4 linked regions of the Astyanax mexicanus genome follow. The protein of the gene in region 1 purifies or fractionates together with the protein of each later gene. This does not show direct contact. Links are inferred from orthologs where the notes say so. Each region holds a gene or a part of one and is shown on either strand. Other genes may lie near its edges.

What was found.
Region 2: the proteins of cdc27 (region 1) and mad2l1 purify together in Homo sapiens (affinity purification with western blotting; 29 studies listed by BioGRID and IntAct, with this or other methods). This does not show direct contact. The link is inferred for Astyanax mexicanus from reciprocal best matches to the Homo sapiens genes CDC27 and MAD2L1.
Region 3: the proteins of cdc27 (region 1) and anapc13 purify together in Homo sapiens (affinity purification with mass spectrometry; 5 studies listed by BioGRID and IntAct, counting the BioPlex papers as one, with this or other methods). This does not show direct contact. The link is inferred for Astyanax mexicanus from reciprocal best matches to the Homo sapiens genes CDC27 and ANAPC13.
Region 4: the proteins of cdc27 (region 1) and B-cadherin purify together in Homo sapiens (affinity purification with western blotting; 4 studies listed by BioGRID and IntAct, with this or other methods). This does not show direct contact. The link is inferred for Astyanax mexicanus from reciprocal best matches to the Homo sapiens genes CDC27 and CDH1.

Annotation. Positions count from the first base shown.
Region 1 is NC_064410.1:15,204,643-15,213,163, reverse strand, and holds the start of cdc27 (cell division cycle protein 27 homolog), read left to right. Parts: upstream 1-4,827; 5' UTR 4,828-4,983; coding exon 4,984-5,010; intron 5,011-7,204; coding exon 7,205-7,280; intron 7,281-8,521. UniProt on the Homo sapiens protein: Component of the anaphase promoting complex/cyclosome (APC/C), a cell cycle-regulated E3 ubiquitin ligase that controls progression through mitosis and the G1 phase of the cell cycle.
Region 2 is NC_064415.1:32,657,862-32,665,785, forward strand, and holds the start of mad2l1 (mitotic spindle assembly checkpoint protein MAD2A), read right to left. Parts: upstream 3,601-7,924; 5' UTR 3,506-3,600; coding exon 3,442-3,505; intron 2,775-3,441; coding exon 2,628-2,774; intron 1,365-2,627; coding exon 1,244-1,364; intron 1,130-1,243; coding exon 1,026-1,129; intron 37-1,025; coding exon 1-36. UniProt on the Homo sapiens protein: Component of the spindle-assembly checkpoint that prevents the onset of anaphase until all chromosomes are properly aligned at the metaphase plate.
Region 3 is NC_064424.1:8,786,937-8,795,623, forward strand, and holds anapc13 (anaphase-promoting complex subunit 13), read left to right. Parts: upstream 1-5,102; 5' UTR 5,103-5,201; intron 5,202-5,276; 5' UTR 5,277-5,285; coding exon 5,286-5,384; intron 5,385-7,086; coding exon 7,087-7,212; 3' UTR 7,213-7,594; downstream 7,595-8,687. Other genes in the region: sc5d (lathosterol oxidase), read right to left, coding at 708-808, 1,400-1,532, 2,574-2,783. UniProt on the Homo sapiens protein: Component of the anaphase promoting complex/cyclosome (APC/C), a cell cycle-regulated E3 ubiquitin ligase that controls progression through mitosis and the G1 phase of the cell cycle.
Region 4 is NC_064430.1:28,568,663-28,576,725, reverse strand, and holds the start of B-cadherin, read right to left. Parts: upstream 3,464-8,063; 5' UTR 3,345-3,463; intron 804-3,344; 5' UTR 527-803; coding exon 476-526; intron 230-475; coding exon 115-229; intron 1-114.

The sequences.
Region 1 (8,521 bases):
TGTTTTATTAAACTACAGATGATAAAGAAATGGTTAAAAACAAGTTTTTATTTATTTTGTTTTTACTTAAATTGTCCCTTAATGGTTATAGTGCAACCAGAAACAAGCAAAAAACAATTGTAACAATTGAGAACATCTAGTAATTTTTAGAAAGCTTTCTCCAACATAGTTTAGGTACTGACACAATGCACCCTCAAACCTGTTTTTTTTTTGGTTTGCCATAATGTTTGCTGCACTTACAACACATCATAACACTTTTGTTTTACATATATTACATTGTGATGAGATTTTTGTTAATCAAAAACAAAAAAAAACTTTATGAAACATTGGTGTTCATGACAAATCTTTGATACTTTAATTGAATCTGGTTTAAATCATGCTGCATCAGCAGCAGCTCAAAAAGAGGCGGAGTCTGACTTCACATGTATCGGAGGAGGCGTGTGCTAGTCTTCATCCTCCTGGTGTTGGGGCACCACTAGTAATAGGGGAAGTCTGAATAAGTGAGTTGGGTAATTGGTCATATAAATTAGGGAAAAATTGGGGAAAAAAATAGAAAACAATTCTGGTTTTGTTTGGAATTCTATTTTTGTATTTATTTATTTTGTTAAATGTATTGTTATTTGGAGCAACCACTCATCGTGTGGTGAAACCTATAATAACAGTACTGTATTAAATTTAATATAAAGTATAATTTTTCTGTTGCTGAAATATTGTATGGCAGTATGCTGAAGTTAATGGTGTTTTAGAACACATTTTAACAGTTTTATAGGATTTACTGGAAAAATTACCCTATTAACTACATTAAAGCCAATAATTGTGATAATAATGCAAATACTTTATTTATAGACACTTTATATTAGTGGGAATTTGTAAAATAAAAATAAAGTATATTAAGGAAATGTATTAATTTTAACATAAATCACAGTCGCACCACATGACATTTTGTAAGGCCAAGGCCAATTCTAAATGAAAATACACTAAAATCACTCAATCTAAAATTTTAATATGAGTTGGTGTTCACAACATTTAAAATTTTGGAACAATTGCAACAGATATTACAGATATACTTATTGTTAGAATTTTAAAATTGGCATGTTGAAAATCCTTATACATCATTGACCCATATATAAATTTTTACAGACATTTTAATCTCATTTGAACCATAGTGCTAAGGCCTCACTTATAAAACTCTGTGTAAATTTTGAAGAGAATGTGTGCGCATGCACAAAAAACAGGAAATGGCATGTGTATGTATACCTGAGCGCTGTTTCCTCTTTGTAAATTATAAATGTGCGCAGGTGACCCAGTCTCATGTTCTGCCTCTATACCGCCCACATTTACCAATAAAAGGTCCATGCAAATCCTTCAATGAATATTTAAAGTGGGATTTCCCATTCATACTGAGTGGGACAATAGCAAGATTTTGGAGACTGTAAAGTAGAAGTCCTTGTGTCGGAGGTCGAGGTGGGGAAGAATGTGTTAATTGATGCTTTTAGCCAACATGTAGCTGCAGCAGTTAATAATGTAGCTCAACAAGCCAAACTATTAGAGAGGTTAGAAGAAAGTGTTCAGATACAAAAATGCTGCTTCACCTGCACATATTTTCCAATAGTTGTAAAAAAAACCTGTAAATGTACATTTATTCCATGATCCATTGGTCTCTATAAATCTGTGCCCAACTTAGCACACAGTTCCTCGAGAATGGCTCCTTGAAACCTAAATCGGCTCTTTAATCAGCAATCATCATTCACAAAAAAATCTATTTGTAGAGCTGTTATTTTTTTTGCAATTAGGTACAGCTGTTTATGCTCGTAATTATCTGCAACTGCAACCCAAAACATTTTTCTCTTTCTTTATTATGGATTATAATTTGTTATAATAATAATAAAATTGTGATAATAATAATTATAATAGTAATAATACATTTGAATACTGATACTTTAGATACATCTCCTTTGAATTTTAAAATTGTGAGATAAAACAAAACAGATAATACAAATAAAATTGAAATACATTACAGCGTGAAATACACAAGTTAGTGCAAAAAATAATACTTCATATAAAGCAGAATAAGATACAGCAAACATTGAAACATTATACATGCAGACAAAAATATATTTAAACAAATATGGGTTAATCCTGCTTAATCTTTCGTTCTTAGTCTTGATTTATGCGGTATGAACTTAGTATGCATGAGGGTAGTTTGCGCATTTACTTGCTATTTACTTACCACATGATGTCACTAATTCCCGCTCTCTTTGCAATCTTCTAAAGGAATACGGACGCCTTAAACCTTGCTGAAATGTACGCTCGTTTTCACGGCAAGTATTTCTTTATAAATCACAGCAAGCGTGAGATGTTGTGCACGCACATTTAATATCACGTGATGTATTATAAATGTATTAGAGATCAGGGGCCTCATGTACTAAAGGTGCGTACGCACAAAAACATTGCGTACGCCATATTTCACGCTCACGGTCTGATGTACTAAATTTGACTTGAACGTGTGAAAGTGCGTTCCCCCACGGAAGTTTTGTTTTGGGCGTACGCCTTTTTTTTGTGCGTATGTATTGTGTTTTTGTCATTTGGCGACACTTAGAGGCGATGCATTGAAATTACAACTATTAAGATATCCTTTATGCACACATTGAAGTAAGCATTATTGGGTAAAATAAAGTAAATTAATCAGACAGTTTCATTGTCTTACAGAAATAATCGTTTAACGTGTTTCCACTTAGCCTAGATCAGGTTTGCGCTGGAGTTGTTGGAGATGCAGCGTTGGCATTACTGGAAAATACTGCTAATGGCCGAATTCATTGAGCGCGCATTTTCCGTGATCATTATGTTTTTTTGGCCCATGATGATGACTGGCTTATAAGCAGTTTTAGATTTCCAAGAGCATAAGAAAACAAGCTGAGTACGTGACGTGTGTCTTTTTGGTAGGCAACTCATTTAAAGCATTTAAATGAAAGCATTTATCTTAGAATAATAAAACTTAAAACATGGGTAATTATACGCTATGCGTATATAATATTATTATTATTATTATTATTATTAATAATAATATTATTATTAATAATAATAATAATAATAATAATAATAATAATAATAATAATAATAATATAACATTATACTCTGCGTAATTGAGGGAGGAGTCGTGGCAAGTGTGCTGCTTTCGTGCATTTGCGCTTGATTTCAAGTTGATTGTGATGTACTAAGAGAAAGTACGTGGAATTCTGCCTACGCACGGTTTGATAAATCATTTATCAAACCGTGCGTAGGCAGAATCCCACGTACGCAAGTGTCGCAAGACGCGTAGCGTAATAACTAATAATTACCCATGTTTTAAATGTATCATTCTAGGATGGATAATAAATGCTTTCATTTAAATGAGTTGCTCACCAAGAAGCCACCCATCACGCACTCAGCTTGTTTTCTTATCCTCTTATGCTCTTGGAAATCTGAAACGGTTTATAAGTCAGAAATGGTCACGAAAAATGCGCTCTCAATGAATTCGGCCATTAGCAATATTTTCCAATAATGCCAACGCTGCCATCTCCAACAACTCCAGCGCAACATTTTATGCATGTTTATATAATCTAGGCTAAGTGGAAACACGTTAAACGATTATTTCAGTAAGTGAATGAAATTGTCTGATTTAATTTATTTTATTTTACCCAAATAATGCTTAATACAATGTGTGCATAAAGGATGTCTTAATAGTTGTAATTTCAGTGCATCGCCTCTAAGTGTCGCCAAATGACAAAAACACAATACATACGCACAAAAAAATATTATTTATTATTATTTAATTTATTTTGTCTATTATTTTTTTTAACCTTTAATTAATAATAATTGTGGTGTTCGTTTAGTCCTCTATTTCTTTAATTGTGTTTATATTATTTTATTATATTTTTTATGTATCTCTTTAGCCTCTCTGCATATCCTTTATTCTGAGTTTATTTTATTTCTTCTTAATTGAAACTTACATTGTTTTCTTGTTTTATAATTTAAACTTATTTTTCAGTCCCTTTAAATTTGTAAATGCTTGGCTGCATTAAAAATGAGGGTTAGCCTTAATGTATGACAGAGTGGAAAAAAATGTTGATTGATTGATTGATAGATGGAATACATGCCAGTGTGCAGTATGATATTAGAAATTCAATGGGCTGCCATCGGCTTTCACACGCTGTGTAAATATATAGTACAGAGCTATTTACTTTTTTGTTTTCTTAATGTTTACCCCCTCCGATTGTTCCCTACTTACAAAACTTGTCAACATTGTGTTTGTTTTATATTTTCTAGCACAAGTGTCACAAATGTGTGAATCAAACCCAACTATTTGTACATGATTCTGGATGATTTTCCATGATATTTAAAATAAAGGCAAATTATTATTTTGACAGCCACATCCGATTTCTGCACTAATTTATACATTATATGGTTAATAAAATACATGAAACAATATACAGAATATAAGACAAAAGAAAAAATATATATTGACATTATTTTCACTTAATTAATATGTTTAGTGTTTGGGCACATGACTAATTGGCAATTAAGGAATTAAAACATTAACGTTACTTTTACTTCTAATATACTTCTAAAAAGATTATTAACCATTTAACTCAAAACATTTGATTTAAGTATTAAGACTATTTTGTTACTTATTTATTTTATTTTAATTGCATAAGTGCAACTTATCCGGGCTTTACAATACTGGAAGGCACTCATTAGAAGGTGTGTCCACAAACATTTGGACATGTGTATTAATGGCATGCATAGGAGCTCGTTGTTTTCCGGCAGTTCTCGGCTCTTTCCGTGGCAGGCGAGTTTGAATCGGCGGTGTTCGGTGGCCGATAACGGTCAGTGCTGTTCAAATCTGACGCTGTTAGCATTTAGCTTCTCCCCGGCTAACATACAGAGACCGGAGCGGAGAGGGAGCGCGGAGGGGCAGTCCAGGAGGCCGGCCAAAGCGACGGAATGACGGTGTTGCAGGAACCTGTACAGGTATTCAGCCACAGATTTAGGCCGCTGTGTGTAACCCGGAGCGGCGGGGAGAGTTTCACCCATAAGCCAAACTCACAACTTTACTCGGGGTGATTTTGAGCTCCTGGCTTCGGCCTGTTCGGCGCTCTGCTCCTCAAACCGCAGGGCTGTTCTCTGTCTGACAGGATTCTAAACAAACGCACCCCTGAATCCTACAGGGTGGAACAGACGGGATATTACCGTGATTTAAACACCTGAAATGCAGAGTATTTTAACGCTAAACCTGCTGTTTTCGGTCTCTCTGGTGCTGGAAAGCGGGGCTAAAGTTAGCCTGTATGCTAGCGGGTTCGTTCTTTCCTCTTGGTTAGCTAACGTTAGCTTAGGTTAGCTGGCTAGTTACCCCTCAGAGCTCTCGGGTCTGCTGTCTGTATAATTATTGCTAAAGATTGTGTTTAAGTTATGAAGTTTACTGACGAGCGTCTGGCCGTTTACAAGTTGTCAGGATCGGCCGCTGCGTGCAGTGTTAGTAGCTAGGAGTATCCCATGTTAGCAAGGCGAGCTAGCCTGTTATTTAGCTAGCTAGTAATGTTACTGTGTTTAATCACCTAGCTCACAAATTACTCTTTACTGCTGGGATTTGTCATGCTCCTTTCTCGTATAGCTGTCATGTCACCTAAATAAACAAGAGCCACTGTATAGTTAATAATGCCGGGCTATCCGCAGAGCTGCTTACCTACTATAACAGTTCATATTGTCTTCATGTCTGTTACCTACCCAGTTAGTCCTCCAGCTGCTCAGTTTATTAGCTCAGCTTGCGTATGTGTCTTAACGTTTATTTTAAATGTTAGGTGAATGGTTTAAAACCAGCTACACCATATTAGATGAGCACATGCATTTAACATAACCTGGAGATACTTATTAGTCCGTTGCTATTTTTTTACGTGTTTCTAGTTAGCTAGTTGCACATCAGCTGAGACGTTGCGCTTCACTATCTCTGGCAGCCCCTTATTTGATTTTCTTTTCAGGGTATATGTAATTAAACTCTTTAATACCTCGGTCCCAGCTGCCACTTAGCAACTGGCACTACTTCATCTTACTGATATTGTGCCATTTTAGCTTGTTTTTTTACCACTGTCAAATAAATAAACATAATAAATAATTGTGGGCTGCATTTTAATATAAAATCCTGACACCTTTTTATCGACAAATTTCTTTGTTTAAAAAAAAAAAAATCAGTCTGTGTTGCTGCCAAGTCACAGTCTTGTTTATTTTGTTTATGCCTGTTAATCAATACCCCCAGCTGCCAGTTTGGCTTTTATGTGCACCTTAAAACAGAGCAAATATTACGTAAATATTTTAACCATACTTGTGCATCTAAAAAATAGACTATTATTGAAAAGTTACTTTATTCCAGTAATTTAGCTCACAATGTGAAACTCATATTACACAGATGCATTACTCAAAGTGCTCTATTTTAAGCGTTTATTTATTTTATTGTTGATGATTATGGCTTGCAGCCAAAATAAAATTTTAATGATAAGTCCTATTGGAAAATAAAATCCTCATATCCATAAAAGTTGTCAGCAGAGGGAAGCGAGCTGTAAGATTTTCTGGAAAAACACTGCACTGACTTTGGAATTGATATAACCTAATGGATCAACACCAGTAGATGACGTGACTCTCCAAACCATCACTGACTGTGAAAACTTTACACGAGACCTCAAGCAGCTTGCACTGTGTGCTCCTCCACTCTTCCTCCAGACTCTTGTCCATTGATTTCAAAATGAAATGCAAAATTTACGGATGGTCAGTGATGGTTTGGAGTGACTCTCTGGTCCAAATGTTTGTGTAAAAAGGTTAGTCTGGACCAACAAGGTGGATGTCAAAGCACTGATAGTCTCTGACCCTATTAGACCCTATCTCTAAACCTATAGTTTACTAGGTTAGATGTTCGCAAATGCTTGCTAGGTTGATGTTCTAGTCCACTGTCTTTGTAAATGTTATCTCTAATTTAAGAGACCTAGGTCTAGTAGATCTGGGACACTTAGAAACTAACGTTTGCCATGTCTTAAGCTGACACTATGCCATTCCGTCACCACTGGGATTTCAGTAAAACTAACATTGATTTGGCGTGCAGTTTGGTTTCATATAATCCACAACCTCTTGCTTTGACCTTTTGTAATATATTTATGTCTGCTGTGTTGTTTGTCTATAGGCTGCTGTCTGGCACGCTTTAAACCACTATGCCTACAGAGATGCTGTATTTCTGGCAGAGAGGCTCTATGCTGAAGGTAGGGTTCAAAATCTTTTCAATGATGACACATAATCAGTAGTACTAAACATTAATTTCCATTATGTCCTGTAGATCATACACCAGTGTTACTGTCTTGTTAATCTTTTGCTTAAAAAAAGAAAAAAAAATAACATGGAAATATATAATATAATCTGTATAGCCAAGATTGGAGTAGTTTTGTTTGTATCAAGCATCTCCTAGAGCGTGACTCAATTGCGATAACATTGTTGAAATTAGCTATAACGTACATTCTCCTGTTTTTCTCCTAATTTAGCTTGGCCAATTGTTCCACTACTCAGCTATATATCCCACATCACAAGTGATTCCAAAACACAAATAGGGTGAAGACTAGCAGACATCTCCAACACGTGAAGTCATCCATCGCCTCTTTTCTAACTGCTGCTAATGTAGCATTGCCGGTGGTCGACTACACATGTGTTTGAGGAGGCGTGTGCTAGCTACATGACCGGGATTCAAACCAGCAATCTCCCAATCATAGTGGCAGCGCTTTAGACCGCTGGAACACTTGGCGACCCTAAAGGGAATATAATCTAAAATTAAATTCATAATTTACTCTAGATTACAAGCTCCATGTTTAGGCAAATTAGCTACTTTTCAAAATTAGCTTTCTTTGTTGATCAATTCAGTGTTTCTCAGAAGCCTGAGCAAACCTGGGAGTAGCCTGGTGGCTTTGGTGGTGAATGGGAGACTTTCGAATTGATGTTTTATTTAATAATATCTCTTAATATTATACTCCATCATTACGGCAACTGATTCCTGACAAATTAATCATACACACTTTTCTTGAACTGAATTGTCCCATCGTGCCTGAAATCTGCTGCATTCACAGACTATTTTTCAGTTTCTTTGTAGTGTACATGTTCTCCCAAAAGGTACATTAATGTATGCATATTGAAGGAAAGAAGAAAGATGAGGAGCGTTGTAGATTGGGTTCATGTGATGGCGACACCCAGTGTTCAAATTTGTTATCTTTAATTATAAAAACTTGCTTAACAGTGGGCCAACTCTCTTATTTCTGAAATACCTCACAGGCCAAATTGTATTTGCTTAGATAATCTGACATTTAAATGAGGCATCAAGTATGGAATAAAAGTCATTGTGGGTTTGGTCAACATGAACAGTTTTGCTTTGGAAATAATTTTTGATACACTGAGAAAAACTGATTATTAAAACTAAAATTTTGTGGCTATTTATGTTTGTGGAAAATGTTGTTTTTAC
Region 2 (7,924 bases), on another chromosome or scaffold:
GATCTTTGTCTGTGTAGATCAGGAGGTCAAAGGCACCTGTATCAGTTCAAAATAGAATGTTTAGTGATGCTCGCTATACACTTTATTAGGAATACTTCTACACCTACTTATACAGTACATAAACAACATGGTGTTGATCACTGTTGTAACAATGAAGAGCATTCACAAAACCACCAGCCTCTGCTAGATGATGACACAAAAAACTTCTGTGCTAGTGTTCACAGAGGGGAGCTCAAAAAGGTATCTGTGCAACACTAATAGCACACTAAACTACCTTGCTAAAAATAAAACTATACTACATGGATGCAGTAAGCTGCCATGATAATATAAAGCTTGACAATTAAAGCAGAGCTAATTTTTAAAAATATAATGAAGAAAAAAACGGTTATTTTAATAAATTACTAGAACTGCAAAATTAATTACCCCACATTTTTTACCCCAATCAAAATCTCATACTAAAAATAACCCAGAAGGAATGCAACGATTCACAAAAATCATATTTGGACAATATTTAGCATCAAACAAAGAGTCTTTCTATAGCACTATTTTCATATTAACATGCACTTACATATTATCCTTACTTAGTATTACAGTAAAGTTACTGACTTTACTCTAATACCTATCTATAAACCCAATAATCTATATCTATAAACCCATGTAGTAGTAATACAGATCTCTCTCACAAACCTGTATTTATGTTTAAATTTTGGTTTGAGAGCTAGTTGTCACTACACTTTACCAAAACTAAAAAAAAAAAAAAAAAATATATATATATATATATATATATATATATATATATATATATATATATATATATATATATATATATATATATATATATATATATATATATACACATACATACATACATACATATATACATATACATACACACATTTGCCATCCTATGTAACATGGAACATTTGCATACTTTCAACCACCATGTTTCATAGTACAAGTTAAATATAATAGAAACAAAGAACGTAATTCATGACACATAGTTAATGAGAAGGTAGAATACTTACATGCAGTTTCCAGTAAAGGCAAGAAGGTGACAGTGGCTGTGATTTGTCTGATGACAGAACGGATTTCTTCCTGGATGGCTTTTATAGACTTTTCTCTGGGAGCACTAAAATACGCAACACACCACAGATCAGATTAACAACTGCACAAACTTTCACCTGCAGATACTTCAAATAATATAAGGACAAATCTACTGACATTTCCTCAAATATAATAATACCTGCTATCCTTTGCAGTCTTGTCGCATTCAATGTCAAACTGCCATCTCTCCAGGACTTCATTTGTCTCAAGGCATGTGATCACCACCACCAGCTTCTGAACTGTGCAATCAAACAGCCACTCTGTGGAAAACAGGTCAGTCGTTTATTGATAAAAAGCAAAGATCAAACAATATTATAATATGAGTGTATTTTATTTACAATTATATATATATATATATATATATATATATATATATATATATATATATATATATATATATATATATATATATATATATATATATATATATACACACACACACACACAGTACAATTAGCAGTGAAACAGTTGTCATGCCACATAAAAAGATGATAATGGACTAAAAACTACAATGTATCTATACAAAGAAGAAAAGAAAAAAAGAAAAAGATATCTGGGCTGGGAGTTTAATCAAATTAATTTGATTAATGAAATTACTGTTCTAATGCAATTTTCAAAATGGGATAGGTATTTAATTGTTGAAAGTAAATGTGAAAGCAATAATTCATTGTGCACTTTAAATAGTGCTGTTTGTTTATAAACTGAAGTTATTGTGAAATTGTTATTGAGAATCACATACCTTTGAAAAATTCAGATTTTTATTAGATAGATAGATAGAGAGATAGATAGAGATAGATAGATACAAAGATTATTACTTGTATCTAGGGTTATATGGAAGACATTCCATGTGGCACGGTGATACAGATATTATGGATTTACTATATTATGTGGTTGCATTTTAAAGTGCATATAATTAAAAAGTTACTTCATTTCAGTATTTTAGCTAAAAATGTGAAACTCATTATATACATGTATTACACACAGAGTGATATTTTTTAAGAGTTTATTCTTAGTGTTAATAATTAAAAAATTAAAAATCAGTATCCCAGAAACTTAGAATATTAAATAAAGACCAATTGATGCTTTTGGCAGTGTAAGAAGTGTGCCAAGTCCAGCTGGAGTGCTGTATGGTTTTCGGGAAAACACTGAAATGATTTCGGACTTGATAAAACAGTGGAGCAACACCAGCAGACTCTCCAAACCACCCAAACCAGTGAAGAGGCACACAGTCCAAGCTGCTTGAGGTCTAGTGTGAAGTTTTCACAATCAGGGATGGTTTGGAGAGACATGTCATTTGCTGGTGTTGGTCCACTGTGATAAATCAGGTTCAGGTGTTTTTTCAGGAAAATCGTACAGCACTACATGCTTTCCAATGCTAACAACTTTTATGGAGATGTAGATTTTTATTTTCCACCTTTATTATTATGAGTATTACATTTTGAACTGAATTACTCAAATAAAGTAACATTTCAATAATGTTCTATTTTTTAATGCAGTAGTAGTAGTGTGAACAGTGAGTCTACCTTTGAGCTGTGTCACAACGTTGGTAAGGTAGGTCTTTAGCTTGGGGTCTGTAGTGAGCTGAAGACTCATATCATACTGTGTGACTCTGGAGAAAGTCTCTGCAGGATAAATTCCTCTCTGGTACAGGATACTGTTGATCCCAAACGCTGTATAAAAAAACACACAGTGAACAAATATATACTTTAAATCAGTCAGACTTAAGTAATTTAGTAACTTTTTAAATGATCATTACTTTGTCTAAAGCAGTATGTGGTGTTAGCTGTGGTTGTACAGCAGGCCATGCAGAGGAGGATCAGCCATTTATTTATAAATAATGACGAAACTGGGGCTTTTCGACACATGACCACAAGTGTAATGTAATCTAGTTAGCTAGTTAGCTAACAGACAACTGTACGGGGAACCTTGTCATAAAACTATACAACTAACTAGCTATGTTAACTCGCGACTGCTGTCGTGCTAAAACACTGACAACCGAACCCACGTTAACGTTAAAAGGTTTGCACAATTAAACACGCCCTCCGCCAGTTTAGACTCCGTTAAAAACACGTTTCACCACGACAAAAAAGAGGCTTCTCAGTGTTTTACCGACCAACTAAATGTAGGTTAACTAGTGTCCAGCGGAATTACTGTATATAAATTAAACGGAGTCGTGGTGGAGCTATTTTAACGCTAGTTAATGTTAGCTAAACTAAGCTAAGCTAACTGTTAGCTAACCTTGTCTATCTAACGTTACACACGCAGCCAGTTTACAGTTTAAAGACGGTTCATCCCCGGTTCTCTCAAACAAACGGACACAATAACGGCTCGACTTACAGAAAAACTCCGCCACGAGCTCGGCGCTGCCTTTCAGCGTGATTCCCTGCAGTGTTTTGGACATGGCTCTGCCGCGATTGTTTCTCTCAGCAGCGCTGCTCTCTGTGTTTCACCCGCCGCTCAGTTTGAATTCAGAGCGCGTTTGAACTGGCGCGCATGCGCACCATCAAAACACACAGCGCAACGCTGATGACGCCATTACGCACAGCGTCAGCGCTGAAGAGCCGCTCTGTTGATCCATAACGTCTTATCACTTCAATTTTCTGACTGTTTCATAGAAAATAGAGCATAGAAACATAGAAAATTAAGTATAAAACTTAATTAATTATTTATTTATTTATTTATTTATTTATTGTATTTACTTTGGTGAAGAAGAATTTTTTGTTGTTTTTTTTTTCCAATCTTTTCCAATCATGTCTGCCTTTTTTAGATTCTAGATTCTTTTTCTTTTTTAGATTTTTCCATTTTTGTATCTTGAAATCTGATGGTTTATAATGCAACTCTGTTACAAAAGGGAAAAAAAAAAGAGAAATATATACATTTTTTTCATTTTCCCTGAAATTTTAATTGGTAGGTGCAGAAATTAAAAAATAGAAAATTGGAAAAATTGATTTAAACCCAATTCTTCTGTACTACACCAAATTGTAAGAATAAAAAAAATGAGTTTTACCCTCAATTGTCTATTTTCGAATTTAGCATTAAATTGTCAGACAATTAAACTAATAAACGTTACACTGACCATTTCAGACCTAAATTATCTCCAGTGAAGAAAAGATATTTAAGAATGCGGTTTTCTATCTGTAATGCACAGAAAAAAGACTATAATATTCTACTATAAAATGTAGTTATATAGCAAATAAATCCTATTAACTATTTTTTTTTCCATTGCATTGGAAGTCTGTGTGTAATGTTTTAGATATATTTTTTATTTACCTTTTTATTTCATAAACCTTACTCAAACAGCAAAATAAAAATTTAAATGTTCTAAATCACATTAAATTAGTAAACTGTTACTAATCAATGGCTACTACTAGTACTACTGTTTTTCCAGTTCAGTGGGCGGGGCTAAGCTACTGTTTCATTGGTTTATAAACTTGTTAATTGGCTGGTTCATTCATGGTCTATTCTAATGAACAACAGCTCCATTGTAAATAGATGCAGGGTCTGAAAGGGTTAATTGATGGCATTTTTTAGTTAAACTTTTTCGTTTCTAGGAGAGTTTTTTGTAGTAATTTTGTATTTAGTGTTAAATAAAATTGTTTCATATATTTCTACATTGTAATTATATACTATGTAGTACATACATTTTTATTTGTAACTATTTGATTTTAATTGAGTGTCATAACCAATAACATTACAATAATACAGTAATAATTTAATAATGTATTGTTATTATTGTAACAAATATCCTATTTAAATAAACATGTATAGTACCAATCAAAAGTTTAATTTAGTTCATGTTTTTCTTTATTTTTCTTTACTGTTTTTCTCTATTTCTTTATTTAATTTATTTTCTACATTGTAGATAGTTATCCAGAAAAAAAAATACCCTGTGCTGGTAGTCTAGCAGTGGTAATTTTGACAGGTGATTTGGATTTAGTCTTAGTTTTTTTGACTAAAATGTATACACTGTGCACAAGCCTTGTCATATAATGCTCATTGTTATCTTGCACCCCATTAAGGGGTCTATTTTCACACCTTCCATCTGCGTCATTTAAATAGAGATGTAGGTTACGATTATATCACACCTGGCTCTTTGAGGGCAACACACGACAGACACACGCAGATACCAAAAGCACAGTTTATTTAAAAAGTGCTAAGCTTACGGGAATGGACAGGGACAGGCAAGGTCAATAACAAAAGGGCAGCAGAGACAAGCAACATACCAGAGTATGTATGCAAGGAGGTCATACACAGTATATTCAATAATGAGTAGAAGGGCAAAAGGGTAGTCATAATACAAAAATAGGTCTGCAATGAGAAGACTAACAAAACAAAGGGATAGGAAACAGTGGTCAAAAGTACAGGGGCTATATATACAGGGGAAATCACATGAGGCGTCACGTGGTCAGGAACATCCGGGAGGTTAGAGGCAGGTGTATCCTGGGAAATGGAGTTTTTTTGTGAGAGCAGTACAGTCCGTGGCAGGCAGACAGATTTGTTCATTGCACTTTATGCCCAAACATACCTATGATTAAGGGAGTTAATATAAGCCTTTTGCCATCGTTATAATAGTGAAAACATACTCACACTCCCTAAATCAATCTGCACTGAAAAAGGGCCCTTTGTGTTGATCTTTCCTGCTCTACTTCATGTATTATTTTATTTTTCATATTAATTCTGATGTCTATATTTTATTTACAAACATATTATGTAACAGAGCAGCAAGCAAAATAAAGGATGGTACTTATCTCGGGATTGCTGCTACATTTATTCTTAACTCCCTAATGGAAACCTCCACCAGGGAGGACTTAAGTGCAGACAGAGTTACAACAGGGACAAAATAAATTCAAAATAACTTGACAAAACAGAAGAAAAGATTAGTGTAATGACTGGGGTTGGAGTTGGCTTTCACAATGCTTGCGAGTGGAAGTTTAGGCCGACAAGCTGATAGTAGGCAGGGACTGTGCTTCCACAGCAGCAGTCACTCACTCATCACTCATTTTATTGTTACTGAATCCTGAATTTTGCTATCCATGTCTCATCAAGAACACATTTTAATCAAGCTGTCAGCATGAACTCATTTTGGAGGAAATGTAAACTGATGCAGATGAGTGAGATTAAAACTAATTATGCACTAAATCACAAATGTTTTTTTTTCTGATTCCAATCACTGTACAATTTCTTATGCAGGTCTGTTCCCATACGACAGACTTTGTACAGTCTGCATGGAATTATTCAGATTTCCCCTTTCCATACAGAATTCCATAAAGTGTGCATCATCACCATGCAATGAAGGCTCACCTGCCAAGGTTGATGTCAGGCATAAAGTTTCCCTGGTACATTTTTCCATGATTTATTTAATTATGTCGTGTTTGTCATGCAAACCTGTGAAGTTGCCACAAAATGCAAGTGGAGAAGTCTTTCAGTGTGGGGATCTGAAAAGAGTGAGTTTTTGGCCTATAAGTAGCCAAGAGTGCAATTACTGCATAGAGAAAGTATGTGAGATCCAGCAGCAGCAGCAGGAGGGAATCACTGAGGAAAGAAATTCAGGGGGATTTCTCCAGCGCTCTGCTGGCCTACTGTAAGTCAGCAGCATCTGTCTGGCTATCTGTCTGTCTGTCTGTCTGTCTGTCTGGCGTGCTGTCTGTCTGTCTCTCTGTCTTGAAGTTTTGATATGATTATGGCCATGCAGTACATAATATTCATTCTGCTCTAATAAAAAAGTTAGGCCTACTACAAATAGTAAAGGAGATAAATTAGTAGTGGAAGACATTGCCCTTAAATAATATCACAATATTATATTTTTTATTTTTCTAATAAAAATATTATTGAAAAATGCTTTAATACTTACAAGTATATTACTTTTCAAATATTTCAATTATATTCTACAGCAAAATATTTTTTAAATGTTTATTGTGAAACAAAAAAAATCGACCACAAAACTAAAGAGCAAAATATGCAGTGCATAAAAATAAAATAAATGCAAATAAAATATAAAATGCAAACTAACTGCAGTGCATGTACATAAACTGCAAAAATTAAAATAATATTCAAATAAAAGACAAAAAGAAAACTAAACTAAAAAACAATAAATGTAGTGCTTGCAAATAAACGGCATTAACTAAAATTAAAACATAAAGAACAAACTTAACTCAAAAAGCAATATGTGTAGTGCATGCATATAAACTGCATAAGATTAAAATAATATACAAATTAAAATACAAAAGAAGCTGAGATAGTGGTGGACGATATTGACCTAAAATAATGTCACAATATTTAATGGTATTTTTCTGATAATGATATTCTTTTAAACTGTTTTTTTTTTTTCATTTTAAGACTATGTCACTGTAAAATATTGTTTGAAAATTGATACAAACATGCAGTAGAAACCAAAAAAATCTATAAACTTGCTGGAGTGACATGACGTGCATATGGATGAATTTTGCATGAACCAATAGGGTGTCAGAATGGTATATGTTTATTCTTCTCATCCAACCACAATCAGATTTGCTTTATCTGAATGGAGAGATTCATCTGAGAGTTTTTTTTTTTTTGAGCGATGAAAAGCCGGAACCAAAACAAGCTGAAATGGCAGGAGTAACAAGGCTGTTTTTAAAATGGAGTTTTAAAGGAGTAGAAAGTTCAAATAATTGTGTGAAAATGTAAGGGGTAGAAGTAAAAAATCGCCTGTAAAGTAATTACTAATAAAACCAAAAATAAACAGTCTGTCTCTGAAAACTGGGTAATGTAAACCCAGTCAAAAGGGGGGTTCCAGGAGTCAAAAGAGGTCAAATGTTTAAATCCAATCAACACCAGAGCC
Region 3 (8,687 bases), on another chromosome or scaffold:
AACCCTAGGATACAACCCCTGAATTGTACATAGAATTTTCTGATTATTACAGTAAAATTATTCAAAACTATTTAGCAATAAGTTTTGACGAGTTCAGAAATCAATATTTGGTGGAATAATCACAGTTTTCATGCATCTTGGCATGTTCTCTTCCACCAGTCTTACACACTGCTTTTGGATAAATATGCCACTCCTGGTGCACTGCAGGTCCAAATGTCTAATAATTGCATTCAGCCACTTTATGTTGCACCCATTGCTGACACAAATGTGAAAATGCACATGCAGTTTCTCCAGTCCCTGTATTTGAGAATATATGCCAATAGAATAGGACTCTCTGGAGCAGAAGAACATGAACCCTTTGACACTATGCCTAGTGCCAGGCATAAGCTATAAGGGTATTATCTGCCCTGCTTTTGTTGGAGTAACTGTCCCTACTGTACAGGGAAGGTGCTTTTCTATGGTTTTAAGCATTGCTTTAAGGATTTAATTGCATTTAGCAACAAAAGTGTTAATGTGTCAGGGTGGATAACCACAACTCAATGCTGGTGGGCTTTATACCCCTTTATCCCGCACCTGGCATTAGGGCACGGTGCCAATAGGTTCATGTTTATCTGCAGCAGACAGACCTATTCTATTGGCAATACCTCTTCAAAACTGACTAGATAATCTGTGTGTGTGTTTTAGAATAGTGTAAACGTGGCAGGTACCTTGTAGATGAGTTTGTGATGAAGGAACCTGTGAATCCAGTAGATGCACATATCAGTAAAAAAGAGAAATGAGAACATGCTGAAAATCAGCCCTGGCCAACCTGAAAACGATAAAAAAGAGAAAGAAGAAAAGCTCAGAATTAGATTAACTAAACTGAAAAAGAGTAAATAAACAGAGAAAACACATAAAAATACTAATCTTTTTTATGTGGCAATAAATGTGAAAGCTAAAGCAAGTATGACAGACTAAAGTACATAAGTAAAAAAAAAAAATATTGCTTAAATATTTATTATTATAATATAGACATACAGCTCTGGACAAAAAAAAGAGACCATTTAAAAACAATACATTTTTTTGATTTTACCAAAGTGTTGAACTTGTTTTCTTTTTGGCATTATTTGAGGTCTGAAAACTCTGCATCTTACATATTTTTTGTTATTTCAGCCATTTCTCATTTTCTGCAAATAAATGCTCTAAAGGACTATATTTTGATTTGAAATTTGGGAGAAATGTTGTCCATAGTTTATAGAATAAAAGAATAATGTTCATTTTATTCAAACATATATCTATAAATAGCAAAATCAGAGAAACTGATTCAGAAACTGAAGTGTTCTCTTATTTTTTTCCAAAACTGTAACTGTGGAACAGAACTATATGAATAATACCTCATACTGTATGCTGAGTCACTTACCTAATGGAGAGTCACTGACGTTGTCGTAGAGCTTGCTGTAGCCTCGAACTTCAGCGAAGAACAGTGCGACGGTGGGAATGCTGATCACCGGCAAAGAAGTCATAGCGTATTTTATTTCACGCCTCACCTGGTTCTGTGGAGTAAGAAGCAAATGATGACATTCTAACCTGGGTGTGGAAATGTGTGCAGATATTGAGCCTCGACTGAACAGAAATGGGAATGTAAAATCAAAAGTGCAACTTGGGAAATTTGCTCTGTCTATGTTTTGTTCTATGTTAAGATATTGAGGAAGTACTAAATATTTGAAAAACAAGATTATTCAGCTGAAAAAAAGCCTATAAATATAATTTGTACATGAAAAATATATATATATATATATATTTTTTATCAAGTCAAAATGCATTAAGCTATTTAATTTAGGAAATATGTGGGTGAAAATGTGATTTAATCAATGAAAACATGCAATAGAGCATGTTAAAAATTCAGTATTTGGCCTCCAGACAAATAGGGCTGCCAGTATTAATGAACATAATCAACTATTGAAATTTAATTATCAACTAATTGTTAATTTGTTTTGAAGAAAGCCATAGCCAGTAGAGTAAAATTAACATTGTTGTTTTATTCTATAAAGTACAAACAACATTTCTCCCAAATTTCAAAAAAATATAGTCATTAAGAGCATTTATTTGCTGAAAATGAGAAATGATTGAAATAACAAAAAGATACAGAGCTTTCAGACCTCAAATAATGCAAAAAAGGGTTCATATTCATAATAAAGTTTTAAGAGTTCAGAAATCAATATTTGGTGGAATATCCCTGTTTTTAAATCACAGTTTTCATGCATCTTGGCATCATGTTCTCCTCCACCAGTCTTACACACTGCTTTTGGATAACTTTATGCCTTTACTCCTGGTGCAAAAATTCAAGCAGTTCAGCTTGTTTGGTCATCCATCTTCCTCCTCGATTATATTCCAAAGGTTTTTCAATTTGGTCAAATCAAAGAAAGCTGTATATATATATATATAATTAAATACTATAATTTAAGTATTAGGTAAGTCAGGTAGGTTTGTAAAAAGAGTATTGAATCATATATTCCTCTCATATTAATAATACACAGTCCATATTTATTTGAAAGCTATTTTCATATGTAAAGGGAAGGAGTTACAGTACTGACCTCCAGAAACTGAGGGTGCTTCATTAAACTGTGGTCAAATATGAAAAAGTAGCTTAAAGCTCCCAGGCCGAGGTATAAAATCGCAGCACCCAGGTTGGTGACCACCAGCAGTCCAATGATCTGCCGCAGAGCCTCATCTTCAGGCCAGGAGGAGGGATAGACATAGGGAGTAAAGAAGTAATAGTCTGCAAAGTTCAGTACAAGGTCCATGGTTGGCACTGTGGGGTGAGAAAGAGGTTTATTTAAACAAAAAGCATCACAATTCAGTGATATTGACCTATAAATACATAAATATCTGTGGATTCAATCTTAAAATGTTATTAATATATAACTATTCGAATTTAATTTAGAAGTTTGTATATCCTCTTATCTCTGTATAGACAAAACAAAGGTTATAAACAGCTGAGAAACACATTATAAACACAGTTTATAAGCACAGTAAGAAACACAGTATATATAATAATGTCCATAATGCACCGTGTGTTTGTAAAAGCTGTAAACACGCTGTTTTTAACTGTACAGAAGAGACTTTACCTCCGTGTCTTACCTGGGGAGGTGCTGCAGTACTCCAGCTCCTGCACGCCCGCTTCTGCTTCCAGCACACAAACCAGCACAACACCCCCCACCTGACGCACTCACACAACCCTGCTGCGACCAATAGGAGGCCGTTTCGTCATCACGCAAGCAGGAATCCTCGAATTTGATTGGCCAAAAGCGCGATCTGCTCATGGGGTTATAGATTCAGGAGCAATGTTTAAAGGAGCAGAGTTTGCGTAGGTGCTACCTGCTTAAAGCTATTTTAATATATTTTTTTATATAATTGATGCTTAAAGAGACTTAAAGAGAAGGTTAGGAAAGGAAATTCCAATATACAGCTCTGGAAAATATTAATAGAGCACTTCAGTTTCTGAAACAGTTTCTCTGATTTTGTTATTTATGGGTTTATGTTTGAGTAAAATGAACATTGTTGTTTTATTCTATAAACTACAGACAATATTTGTCCTAAATTCCAAATATTGTTATATAGAGCATTTATTTGCAGAAAATGAGAAATGGCTGAAATAACAAAAAAGATGCAGAGCTTTCAGACCTCAAATAATGCAAAGAAAACAAGTTCATATTCATAAAGTTTTAAGAGTTCAGAAATCAATATTTCGTGGAATAACCCTGGTTTTTAATCACAGTTTTCATGCAGCGTGGCATGTTCTCCTCCACCAGTCTTACACACTGCTTTTGGATAACTTTATGCCTTTACTCCTGGTGCAAAAATCCAAGCAGTTCAGCTTGGTTTGATGGCCATCCATCTTTCAGAGAGATAAACCAACAAACTGACCTGCAATTATTTTGACTATTTTCACCACTTCTGTGCATTTTACATTGTGTGACTTTTATAGTTTAGTTTTTTAGTTTTCAGTTTATTTATCTATATGTTGTAATATGGTCATTTTTTTTAATCTGCTTATATTCTTGTTTTTTATACATTTTGCATTTAAAAATGTGTGTTTTTATTTTTTAATATATACGCTACTTTTGTTTTATAAGCAACCAGCTATTTAGACAAATAGAAATATTTATATTTACCAATTGTAATCAGTGAATGTGAGTATAATAGGCAGAAAGGGAGACAGATCGCCCTCTGCTGTTTGCATTACACTGGTACGATTCACGTGTAGTTTAATAGTTGAGAGTGTATTTATTAGTCATAATTACATTTACAATATATAAACACTTAATTTAATGTTTAATATCTTGCCCATATTTCAGATTATTTTCTAACTGCCTGTAAGAAGCAGAAATACCTTTTTTAAGGAGCGTTCCTCTAAAAGGACTACAGAATCTGTCGCTCTGAAGACGTCACCACCGCACAACTGCATTAGTGGCGCCAGCAGGTGGTCATGGGAATTGTAGTTTATTTTCATTTGAATATATATATTATACGCTTATAGTGCTTATGCTATAATTCTATGAAATCTATGAGGACACTGAGATTAAAATACCAAGAGTGTGCAGATCTGTCCTCAAAGCAAAATGTACTGCTTGGAAGAATCTAAGATATAAAACATATTCTAGATTGTTTAACATTTTATGTTTACAGAATAATTATGCATGTGGTCCTGTACAGTTTAAATATATTCTTTAATATTAAATTTACAATATAAAAATCATAAAAAGAAACAAATTATCTTCATCTGCTGGTGTTGATCCACTGTGTTGTATCAAGTTCAAAGTCAGTGCAGTGTTTTCCCGAAAAATCTTACAGCACGGATTTCATTTTCCAGCAGGACTTGGCACACTGCCCACACTGCAGCCAAAAATACCAGTTGCAGTTCTTTGGCTGTAAGTCATAATCATCAACAATAAAATAAATAAATGCCTCAAATAGATCACTCTGTGTGTAATACATCTATATAATATATGAGTTTCACATTTGGAACTGAATTACTGAAATAAGGTAACTTTTCAATGATATTCTATTTTATTTTTTGAGATGCAATAGACACTAGTATATATAATGGAAGTGATGTAAGAGTAGAGCCAGCAGGTGGAGCAGGTCTGCACTTTTTTCGCATATGTTTTTTCGCTCTCTGTCGTCATCAGTAAGGGACAGTAGAGGGACTGAGCGCAGTGGTGAGTAAAGCTGGTGTGTATCAGTTATTATTGATATGTATTTAGTATCTATAGATCAGGGCTGTGTGTGCGCAGGGTCTGGAGATGGACAGTGAGGTACAGAGGGACGGCAGGGTGCTGGATCTGACCGATGATGCCTGGAGAGAAGACCGGCTGCCCTACGAGGACGTGACCATCCCTCTGGTACCCCTATATAATAATCCATAATAAACACACACACGAGGCTGCTGTACTGAGTGCAGAACTGATTAGAGGACTTAAGTGTTGTATTTTACTGTAATATTAGCTTAGTTACCCCCCCTGATAGCAGAGAACATTACATACATGTATTTTTTGGTTCTTTTACATTTTTTATGCTCATGATGGGAAAACAAGCTTTAAATTATCTTTAAAAAAATAAAATTGTGCACAAAATATCTATTATAATTAGTGCTGCGCACTATGACCAAAAATGTATATCACAGTAATTTTATTTTATAATTTTTAATAACACCATTGCTGTTCCTGACAAATAAACATAACAGTTAATATAAGTTTGGATTGTACTGTTAGGAGTATAGCAATAAAATACAAAACATTAAGGCTTTGATTACTATTGAGTTTACTCTGTACCAAAACATTACACAATATATAAAAAATTCAGACTTCATTAGCAAAAAAACAGCTGAAGAAAGTAAACAATAGACCATAAAAATATATATGCCAACAACTTTAACCCTGCTCCCATTAAAAAACTAAATATTTTAAATAGTTCCATAGACACTATAAATAGACCTAAAATACTCAAAATGTAAGTATTCGTAGAGATATTTCTCAAATGTTCTTGTGCACAAGTTAGACACAAGTTTAATATATTTAAAAGGTCTATAGTTACTGATCTTTAAGAGTTTTGCACCAGTATTTAAGGAAGTTATCACTTGTGCTGAATGAATGATTGATTCTTTACCCCAGGACTGATTCTAGGCTCGTCTGAGCTGGGAATCGATTGCAAAATTAAATTCCTCTATTTTTCTGAGTAAATAATTGCTAACCGTTTTTCTATATTACTTGGATAAAAACACTCATACAGTGAGGAACAGCAGCAGGAGCTCCTTAGATAAAGTGCTGTTCCTATTTCTCTCCAGACAGGACAGAGCGAGACGAGCATTTGACTCCCCTCACTCCTGTGTTTTAGTTTGTTATGCTAACTGGCTTGCAGTATTTAGCGAGCTGTACCAGTATACTTTTTTCGGTTGTGCTGTTTTACGCAGCGCTCCGTTGAACCTCTAGCGACATACCAGAAGAGGAATTAAAACGAATCCGCTAATCCGGATGAACCATTATACAGTCCAGCACAATTTCAGATGGCAGTATATCCTTTTTTTTTGTTTAAATATATTAAGATCATGAGTGTACATGTCTCTGTACATTTCATTACAGAATGTCACAAATCCTGTTAAATTGAATAATATGCAGTAAAATTTACATAAGAAAGAGCATTTGAATAGCAGATTCATTAATGCTAATGAATTATCTCTGCTTGTCAAAATATGGTAAATACTGTGTTGTAAAAAATTCTTTAAATATTGTAATATAACATTTAACATATTACCCAGCTCTATCAGCACATGATTATGTACAGCAAGGGTGCTGGCTATACTGTGTGTATGTGTATGTGTATGTGTATATATATATATATAAACCAGCCATAGTTGGAAGTATTTTCTGACTAGATTGTACAAATTACAGAATATTTTCAAAGAAAACAACAAAGCACTTTTGTAAGTCACTCTGGATAAGGGTGTCTGCTAAATGCCTGAAATGTAAATGTAATCTCTGTGTGTGAAACTGACCTAAAAAGGCTCATAGGCTGTGATATTAATGTTTTGTTTTCTTTCTCTTTTAGAGTGAACTTCCAGAAGCAGAGCAGGATAACGGTGGATCAACAGAGTCAGTTAAAGAGCAAGAAATGAAGTGGTCTGATCTGGCTCTTCAAAGTTTACATGAAAATACTCCAAATACAGGAACATAGCGTAATCGTAATGATGATGATGATGATGATGATGGTGGTGGTGAAAAATATGCATGCAAGTTATTGTGTGTATGGTCACTGCCTCTATGTTAGGTCTTTGGAGTAAATGACCTGTTTCACTCATGGGTGAAGGACTTTACTCACAGATCTGGAGACTACACTTGTTAAATAATGCCTGGTGGCTTAAATAGCCCAGAATCAAAGAAGTGCTTTAACGTTCAATTATATTTTGTGATATGTGAATGAAGAGTAAATGTTTTGTATCTAAAAACCATGTAAAGCTTCTTTCTGGAGCCTCTTCATTGTGTTTCTGTCGGACACACCTGTGGAGATGTGAGAAATTGTTAGAAGAAAATAAACTTAAATAAAATTATGAAATAAGTGTGAAGTTGATGCAATTAGAAATAAAAAAAAATCTAAAAATGGGTGTACATCTCTTTAGAACAAGTTATGAAGAAGATATACTGTACTTCTGTAGTTGATTTTATCAGAACAAAATAATTTACACAAAAACTGCTAAAAAACCTCTAGCTGCTTCCTCTAGAATTTAGTTTATCATTGTCAATATAATTGGTATTTTTGAATTTACAAATGTTAATGTAATGTAAAATTGATTAAAAGTGATTCCATAAATATGTACCTACTTTATGGTGCTGCATATGTAAGCAGTCACTTATTCAACATTATGTTTTATTTAATTGACATTGCCTTGTAAAACTTTTTTACAGACTTTCTAAAATAGCCTAATTATATTGACCCAAAAATTCAATTTATAAATAACAATAAATCTGGAGATTAATATATTTTTTTAAGGTATCGTACACTCCGTAAGCCTGTGCAAAGTTTTCTGCAAAAAACAGTCCTTGGCCTGTATACAAACTACAAGTGTAGATGATAAAAACTCTTTCTCTGCAGTAAAATACGTTATTTGCATTCTGAAAATTTTGAGGGCCCTGGAGGTTCCAACAGGATACTATGTGAAACTGCCGTTTCTCTACTGCACTTAATATTTCTTAATAATTATTAAAAACTAGACAATTATAAAAAAATAAAGGTTTGGAGGACATTAACTGTTTAATTTGTTTTCAGGAATTTTAATTTTATTAATTTTATAGTGTTAAGGAAAGCACTAATTTTATGATTTTTGTTAATTATACCATAGTTATTTCTGACCCTGCAATGTGATTGGCTGAGAGGTGCTCTATGAGTGCCATTATCAGCCGGTAATGCACTGTAAACGTAACTCTCAATGTATTACTCCGCCACGTGCAGGTAACCTAGCAACGATGCAGTGCTTACAAGCCAAACAGCGCAGCTACAAACAGAGCAGCAATGAAACTATTTTAATTTGCGGAGTGTTTATAACCAAACAGATCGTATTTTCTCATCCTCTTTAACTCAAAATCTTTTAGTAAACAGCGATAATTTAACTGGTATAATTGCAATAATACACTCGAGGTTTGTGCTATAACGTG
Region 4 (8,063 bases), on another chromosome or scaffold:
CAGTTTACAGACAAAAATTCACATTAACAAGTATAAATACTCATCGCAAGAGTCATTTTCCAATTTTTAACATCACATTTCTTAAAAAGTAAGGTTATAAAACCAGTGTCTTACCTCTGCCCAGCCTCCTGCCTCTGTGAAGGTGAGGTCTGTGCACTTTGAAAATGAACACCGCTGAATCAAATCCGTTTGAACATGGCGTCTGATCAGCAAAGCTGGTGGAGAGCACCTGTAATAAAAAGGACGAGAAAAAACACATTCAGCTTCTTTTAACTGTTTTATTTACTGAAATAAACGGATTTTAGTCCAATAAACCCAAAGAAATAGCAATAAAACCGTGTGTAGCTGATGTTTTACTTGGTTTAAATTCATTTAAAGCCAAACTACTAACTCTTAGTTAGCTAAGCTACATGTTTGACCATATTTGTAAGAAAAACAGCTGTTTAAAATCTTCCCCAATTAAAGCAGAACTTACCTGCAGTAGAACGAGAAGAACCCCCAGCCGTACACTCCTTAAAGTCTCCATGTAACAGAAAATAAACCGAATAATCCTCGGAAATCCCCTCTCTCTGCTCTCCTCAGAGCTGGAACTCTTCCCCAGGCTAAATGGAGGAACTGCGAGGCAGCAGGTAACTAGCACAGTTTCTGCACGTGACGCAACCAGGTGACCTCGCCCATCCGCCTCGCGCTGACCAAGTATGGGCACAGGTTCTCTAGGCTCCTCCCCCAAAACTCCAGGTAAGACCTTCTCCGAGTATCTCCCAGCTCCTTCTGCTCCACCACCTGCTGAAGACTGATCTAACCTGCAGAAACGAGACGAAATGTATATTACTACTGTATATAAATACTTTACTACTGTTCTTAAGTACTAAAATACTGTATTTGTGTCTACAGGAGTATAAGTTTTACTTCACTACTGTACTTAAGTATTAAAATACTGCATCTGTATCTCATAGAATGTTACTTTTACTTCTACTCCTACTTTTACTATCTAATGGAGTATTGTTTTTACTTAAGGACTGTACTTAAGTACTAAAATACTGTATCTGTATCTACTGGAGTATTACTTTTACTTCAGTACTGTACTTAATTATTAAAATACTGCATCTTTATCTCATGAAGTATTACTTTTACTTCTACTCCTACTTTTGCTATCTACTGGAGTATTGTTTTTACTTAAGGACTGTACTTAAGTATTAAAATACTGCATTTGTATCTCATGGAGTGTTACTTTTACTTCTACTCCTACTTTTGCTATCTACTGGAGTATTGTTTTTACTTAAGTAATGTACTTAAGTACTAAAATATAGTATCTGTATCTATTGGAGGATTATTTTTACTTCACTACTGTACTTAAGTATTAAAATACTGCATCTGTATCTCATGGAGTGTTACTTTTACTTTTTCTATTGTTTTTTACTTAACTACTGTACTTAAGTACTTAAATGCTATATCTGTTTCTACTAGAGTATTACTTTTTGCTTTACTACTGTACTTTAGTACTAAAACGTAGTATCTACTGGAGTATTGTTTTTACTTCACTACTGTACTTAAGTACTAAAATGCTGTATCAGTATCTACTTGAGTATTATTTGTATTTCACTACTGTACTAAAGTACTAAAATACTGTATCTGTATCTACTGGAGTATTATTTTTACTTCACTACTGTACTTAAGTACTAAAATGCTGTATCTGTATCTACTTGAGTATTATTTGTATTTCACTACTGTACTAAAGTACTAAAATACTGTATCTGTATCTACTGGAGTATTATTTTTACTTCACTACTGTACTTAAGTACTAAAATGCTGTATCAGTATCTACTTGAGTATTATTTGTATTTCACTACTGTACTAAAGTACTAAAATACTGTATCTGTATCTACTGGAGTATTATTTTTACTTTACTACTGTACTTAAGTACTAACATGCTGTATCTGTATCTACTAGAGTATTATTTTGACATCACTACTGTACATAAGTACTAAAATGTTGTATCTGTATCTACTAGAGTATTGTTTTTACTTAACTACTAAGTACTAAAATACTGTATATGTACTCATATTGGAGTATTATGTTTACTACACTACTGTACTTAAGTACTAAACTACTGTATATGTATCTACTGGAGTGTTTCTTTTTACTTTACTACATATTTTGGATGAGTTTAATACTTTTACTCTGATATTTTTTTATGTGCTGAATTGTTATTTGTTACAATTATAAAAATGTTAGAAATCATTCTGAGCCCACATAATCTTTCTTTTCACTGCTTCTGTAACAACTACATAACAAAATATTGTACTTTTTTAGTACTTCAGTACTACATTTACTTACTTGATACTTAAGTACAAAAATGTAAAATACTTTATTACTTTTATGCTTAAGGTTGGAGCTTAAAAAACCCTTCAACTTCTTGATTGAGCACTTGTACTTTTACTTAAGTCTGAAATACATGTCTGGAAGTGAGGTAAGTGAAGTTTACCTATTTATTAGTGGTCAATTAATAAAACAAAAATCAGATTAATCCCAGCATTTTGTAATTAATCACAAGGTTTATCTTTTAAAGATTAAGCTTTTAATAGTGCATATTTAAATAAAATTAGAACATTAGAACATTATTCTGTTATTTAATCATAAATAAAATCACAATACATTTTTTATGTATTTATTTCTCTGCAGTTTTGTAGTGGGACAAACATAATAATGGAGTAGGATTTAGACCTGGCAAACACACTAGAGTAGAGCTACAACTACTCTACTGCAACAACTAATCAATTAAATCAGTTGGAAACTAATTTAATAATTGATTAGTTAATTCTACAGTAAGTTGCAAGCATTAGCATTTTCCCTTCCACTTTAAATATGGCAGCTCCAGCAGCAGATCCAAATCAAGCTGTAGTTTACAACGTTACAAAAAGTTCTATTTTTTCCCTCACTTTTTATCAGTTTTATTAGAGCTTATTTGAGTGTTCAAATAAGACATCTCACATGCATTAAAAAAAATAATCATAATAATTTGACACACAGCAGAATGATGGCAAGTTTGTTTGTTTATCTTTAGTTTAGTCCTAGTGGAGGTCCAGACAAGAGCTGGGCGATATGGTAAAAATACCTGTATCATGAGATGAATCACAATATTTACAATATTTTTTTTTTTATATTTAAAATGATACTCAAAAAATATAATCAAAATGTTCTATAACTTATCCTAAACATTACTAATTACTCTCTCTGTGATTGAAAGCTAATTAATTTGTTAATTTACACTGAAGATATCCACAATATACTCAAAAAAAGTATATTCTGTATCCCACTAACAGAATATATCTCAAAATGCCCACCTCAGTTCAGTTTTGTCTGTGCTGGATCATCCTATCTTCTCCTTGAGAATACCATCCTCATCCTCATGAGTCGATCTATAGATGAGCTACAAAATCCAGCAGCAGAAAGTTTGTCTCAATCAGAGGATCAGACTGAATGAAGAACTGAACTGAAACACTCTGTCTATTCTGACTTTGCTCCTCAGGCTCCTCCTCCATTCCCAGGCCAAGCGTCCAGAACCACCACTGACTGTTTGTGTTCTTAGCAGTGGATGCAGCACAAATCCCTCTGATATTGCATGAATATAATGAACAGCAGGGTTTCTCTTAAATAAAAAGAGCAGCTAAAGCCCTGAGCACTGCTTACTTAACGTACTGTTCATATGAGAGGAAATTAATGTAGAAATAATTATTATATTAAATTATATTATATTACTTTTTAAACTAATATGGCCTACCTGCTGTTTAAATGCAAGCAAATAACACCAGATACTATGTAAAGAGGACAAGATACTAAGTGGTGAGCACAAGATACTATGTGGAAATCACCATATGCGGTATAGTGAGGACAAGATAGTCAGTGGTGAGCACTAGATACTTTGCGGAAAACACCAGAGGCTACATAGTGAAGACAAGATACTAAGTAGTGAGCACAAGATACTATGTGGTAAACACCAGATGCGGTATAGTGAAGATGAGATACTAAGTGGTGAGCACTAGATGCTATGTGGTATACACCAGTTGCGATATGAGGACAAGATACTACACTAAGTGGTGAGTACCAGATACGATGTGGTGAGCACCAAATATTATGTGGTACACACCAAATGCTATATGATGAAGACAAGATACTGCACGGTGAGCACCTGATACTATATTGTAAACACCTGATACTATGTGGTAAACACCAGCTATATAGTCAGGACAATATACTAAGTGGTGGGTGAGCACCTGATACTATGTGGTAAACACCAGATGCTTTATAGTAAGGACGAGATACTATGTAGTAAGCACCAGATAACCACCAGTGTAGTAAGCACCAGGTAACCACCAGTTACTTTGTAGTGAGCACCAGATACTATGTGGTAAACACCAGATGCTATGTAGTGAGGACAAGATACTATGTGGTGGGTGAGCACCAGATACTATGGTAAGCACTAGATACTAAATGTTGGACACCAGAAGCTCTCAGATATGTACCATGTACTATGTGGTGAGCCCCACATAAAATGAGGTAAGCCCCAGAGACTAACATGTAAAAACAACTGTTTACTGCCACATACAGTAACATCTGGTGCCCCTTACATAGTATCTGGTGCCCCTCACATAGTATCTGGTGCTCACCACATAGTATCTGCTGCTCACCACATAGTATCTAGTGCTCATTGTACCAAGTCAAGGAGTGATCAGTCTGCTCAGTGTCAGGTGAAATTCAAGTCCTGTCTAGCCTAACTTTGCTCTCAGGGCTCCTCCAGTCTCAGGTGAAGCCCTCAATGATCACAGCTCCTCCAGGAAAATCTCTGACAGACTGATTTAACATCATTCTTGTGATTTGGTTGCGTTTATTTTGTCTAGTATTCGCTTAAACTCGCCGAGATACACCAATACAATCTGACATCTGATGCTTATTACTCAATTCCACCTTAAAAAGTGAAGCAGTTCATTTTAAATAATAAGTTAAATACTTCCACATCACATTAACACTGCCTTATTTAATGTTTTCATTCCACCTTAAACAGTGAAGCAGTTACAGGTGCTTGGGCTAAACTGCTGCACTCTTTAAGGTGGCAGAATAAAGAACTGCATTTTCTTATTTTCCTTCTATGCCAGTTTAAGAACTGCAGCTGTTACATAATTAGTGTTTGTCAGAGGAACTATAACTTAGTTCCGCTGGAATAACTATGACGTTTGTTATAGTTATTCCACCTTAAATTCTACATCTACCTGCTTAAACACAATCATATTCACATGAATCTCCAGCATGAAATGAAACTCTGGTACTTTAAAGCAGTAACTGTGTGAGGAGCAGTCAGTCTAGAGACAGAAGATAGATGTGATTGGGGATTACATTTCTCTTATATCATTTTAACTACATTTTATCAGCTTCAAAACTTTACATTTTGTCAGGAGGGACAGTGTTGTGCCAGTTCACAGCTTTTCTAAACTAGTTCAAGTTCACTTCATGCATGCTCAAAGTGAACAGTTCACGTTGAAAGTTCACAATTTTAATTCTGAACTAGTTCAAAGTTCAGTTCATTTTACTTTTTTTGTGAGATATTCAAATAGATACTTTTTTTCACACTACAAGCTAGAAATCACTATACGTTCTTTGAAACGGCTCATTGTAGACATTTGATCATGACACTGCGATTGTGGGTTTCTTACCAGCTGATGAAAATGTTCATAAGGAGAATCGGTGTCTGTCTCCCTGCATCACTTCCACTAGACATTTTTTTTTAAATTGCAGAACCAGGTGCATCATTTACAGTATTTAAAAAGGAGAATTTAAAGATGTGTAGGCCTCCACATGGGATGAAGCTGACTGGAGGAAGCTGAAATAGTCTAGTCCAGGGGTTCTCAACTGGTCTTAGCCCAGGACCAGTCGCGGCCCACTTTTATGGAATAGAACGCAAGCAAACTTATTTTTTAAAAATGGCCTTAAAAATCCATTTTAACATACATATGCAAAGTGAATTTACTAGTATTTCTTTAAGAAACTGAGGAGGAACATGACAACTAAATGTTTGCATTACATTACATTACATTTGGCAGACGCTTTTGTCCAAAGCGACTTACAATAGTCAAGAACAAAATAGAAGTTAAAGGTAAAACATTTTTTAGACAGGGCTTAAAGGAGGTCGAAGGGAAATAAAGGGATAGAGAAGTGAAGGAGGGGAAAAAGGAAATGAGGTTAGAAGTAGTTAGTGTGTTAGAGGTGTTAGGAGAGTAAGTGCTCTTTGAAGAGCTCTGTCTTCAGGAGTTTATTAAAGATAGCGAGAGATTCTCCTGATCTGGTAGTGGAAGGTAGTTTGTTCCATCGTTGGGGAACTCTGTATGAGAACAGTATAATATGTATAAATGTATAAAAGTTACAATAATAAAATTAAAAATCAAAACTGTGCAAAATAAAAGAGGATACACAATAAGATATTTCATTAGTAACTCCCTGCCTCTCTTTTTCCCCCAATATAAAAGACAAGTACAAAAAAGCATTATCATTATAATAATTATTATATATTTTTTATGTTTTTTTTTTTTTTCAAGCTGTCTGCGACCTACTCAGAACAAGTCCGCGACCCACTTTTGGCTCCCGACCCACCAGTTCAGTTGAGAATCGCTGGTCTACTCTATCTTTGCTGATAACTGAACGTGTTACAGGCTGCTGTACACAAGGCTGCTCACAGGATCTCAGCAGTTGGTTGATATTTGCTATAACTGAAAGACACTATTCATGCCTGTGCTCTCCTCCCTCAGCGAGAGAACCCACAGTCTGTTCCCGTGGGACGGCCGGAGAGTGGAGCTGTGAGAGGCTTTATCCTTTCCCAGATTCCAGCGATTGATTTTTGTGCTGCCACTCAGCAATCCGGCTGTGTGTTAATCCTGTTTATTGCATAACAAATGTAACTTATTCTGTATTTGTTATTTAGTGAATGTCTATTATCTTGTCTGTAAATCAGAAACAGGGATGTTTAAAGCCATTGCTTTGACCTTTGCATGTGTTACTAACAATTGATTTTAAGCTTTTTTGACTTTGTAAATATAAATAAGTCTATTTAAGTACAACAAGGGTTGGACAATGAAACTGAAACACCTGGTTTTAGACCACAATCATTTATTGTCCCGACGGACAGTTCTGGTGGAAACAGGAGAGTTGAGGTGCACATTGAATTCTGCCGTGATTTGGGCAGCCATGGTTTTATGTTTTTTTGGATACAACATCCCTTTCAGACAGCTTCCTCTTACAGCGTCCACAGTTAATCCTGTTGGATGTGGTTGGTCCTTCTTGGTGGTATGCTGACATTACCCTGGATACAGTGGCTCTTGATACATCACAAAGACTTGCTGTCTTGGTCACAGATGCTCCAGCATGACGTGCACCAACAACTCTGGTATGTCACCCATAATGTTGTGTGCATTGCAATATTTTGAGCAGAACTGTGCTCTTACCCTGCTAATTGAACCTTCACACTCTGCTCTTACTGGTGCAATGTGTAATTAATGAAGATCGGCCACCAGGCTGCTCCAATTTAGCCATGAAACCTCCCACACTAAAATGAAAGGTGTTTCAGTTTCATTGTCCAACCCCTGTATCTACACAAATAATTTAGTGCAGTCTAGTTACTTGAGAATTTCACATAAAATTATATTATGCACTACTTGGTGTTTCTTTGTAAGTGTTTGTCGTCGAATACATTTGTAAATTTGAGTCTAAATGCCAAAGTACAATTTACAACATTTTACGTCCTTACTGATAACAATCTTAAAATATTTTTAAGTCAATGCTAATTGGATTTATGCTGATGTTGAGTTAAGTGTTTTTAATCACTGTTTTAACTTTTATTTAATTTTAAACTGAACTGGAGTGAATGTTGGACTGAATGGTGGGTCACTAGTTTCACTCTGGTTTGATTGATTTGCTGAGCAGAGCTTTTCTGATGGAGTTTTTTTTAAAGTTTAATCCTGATGGAGTGTACACACTTATAAGTGTTCAACTGATGTATTGGTGTATTTAGAAATGGG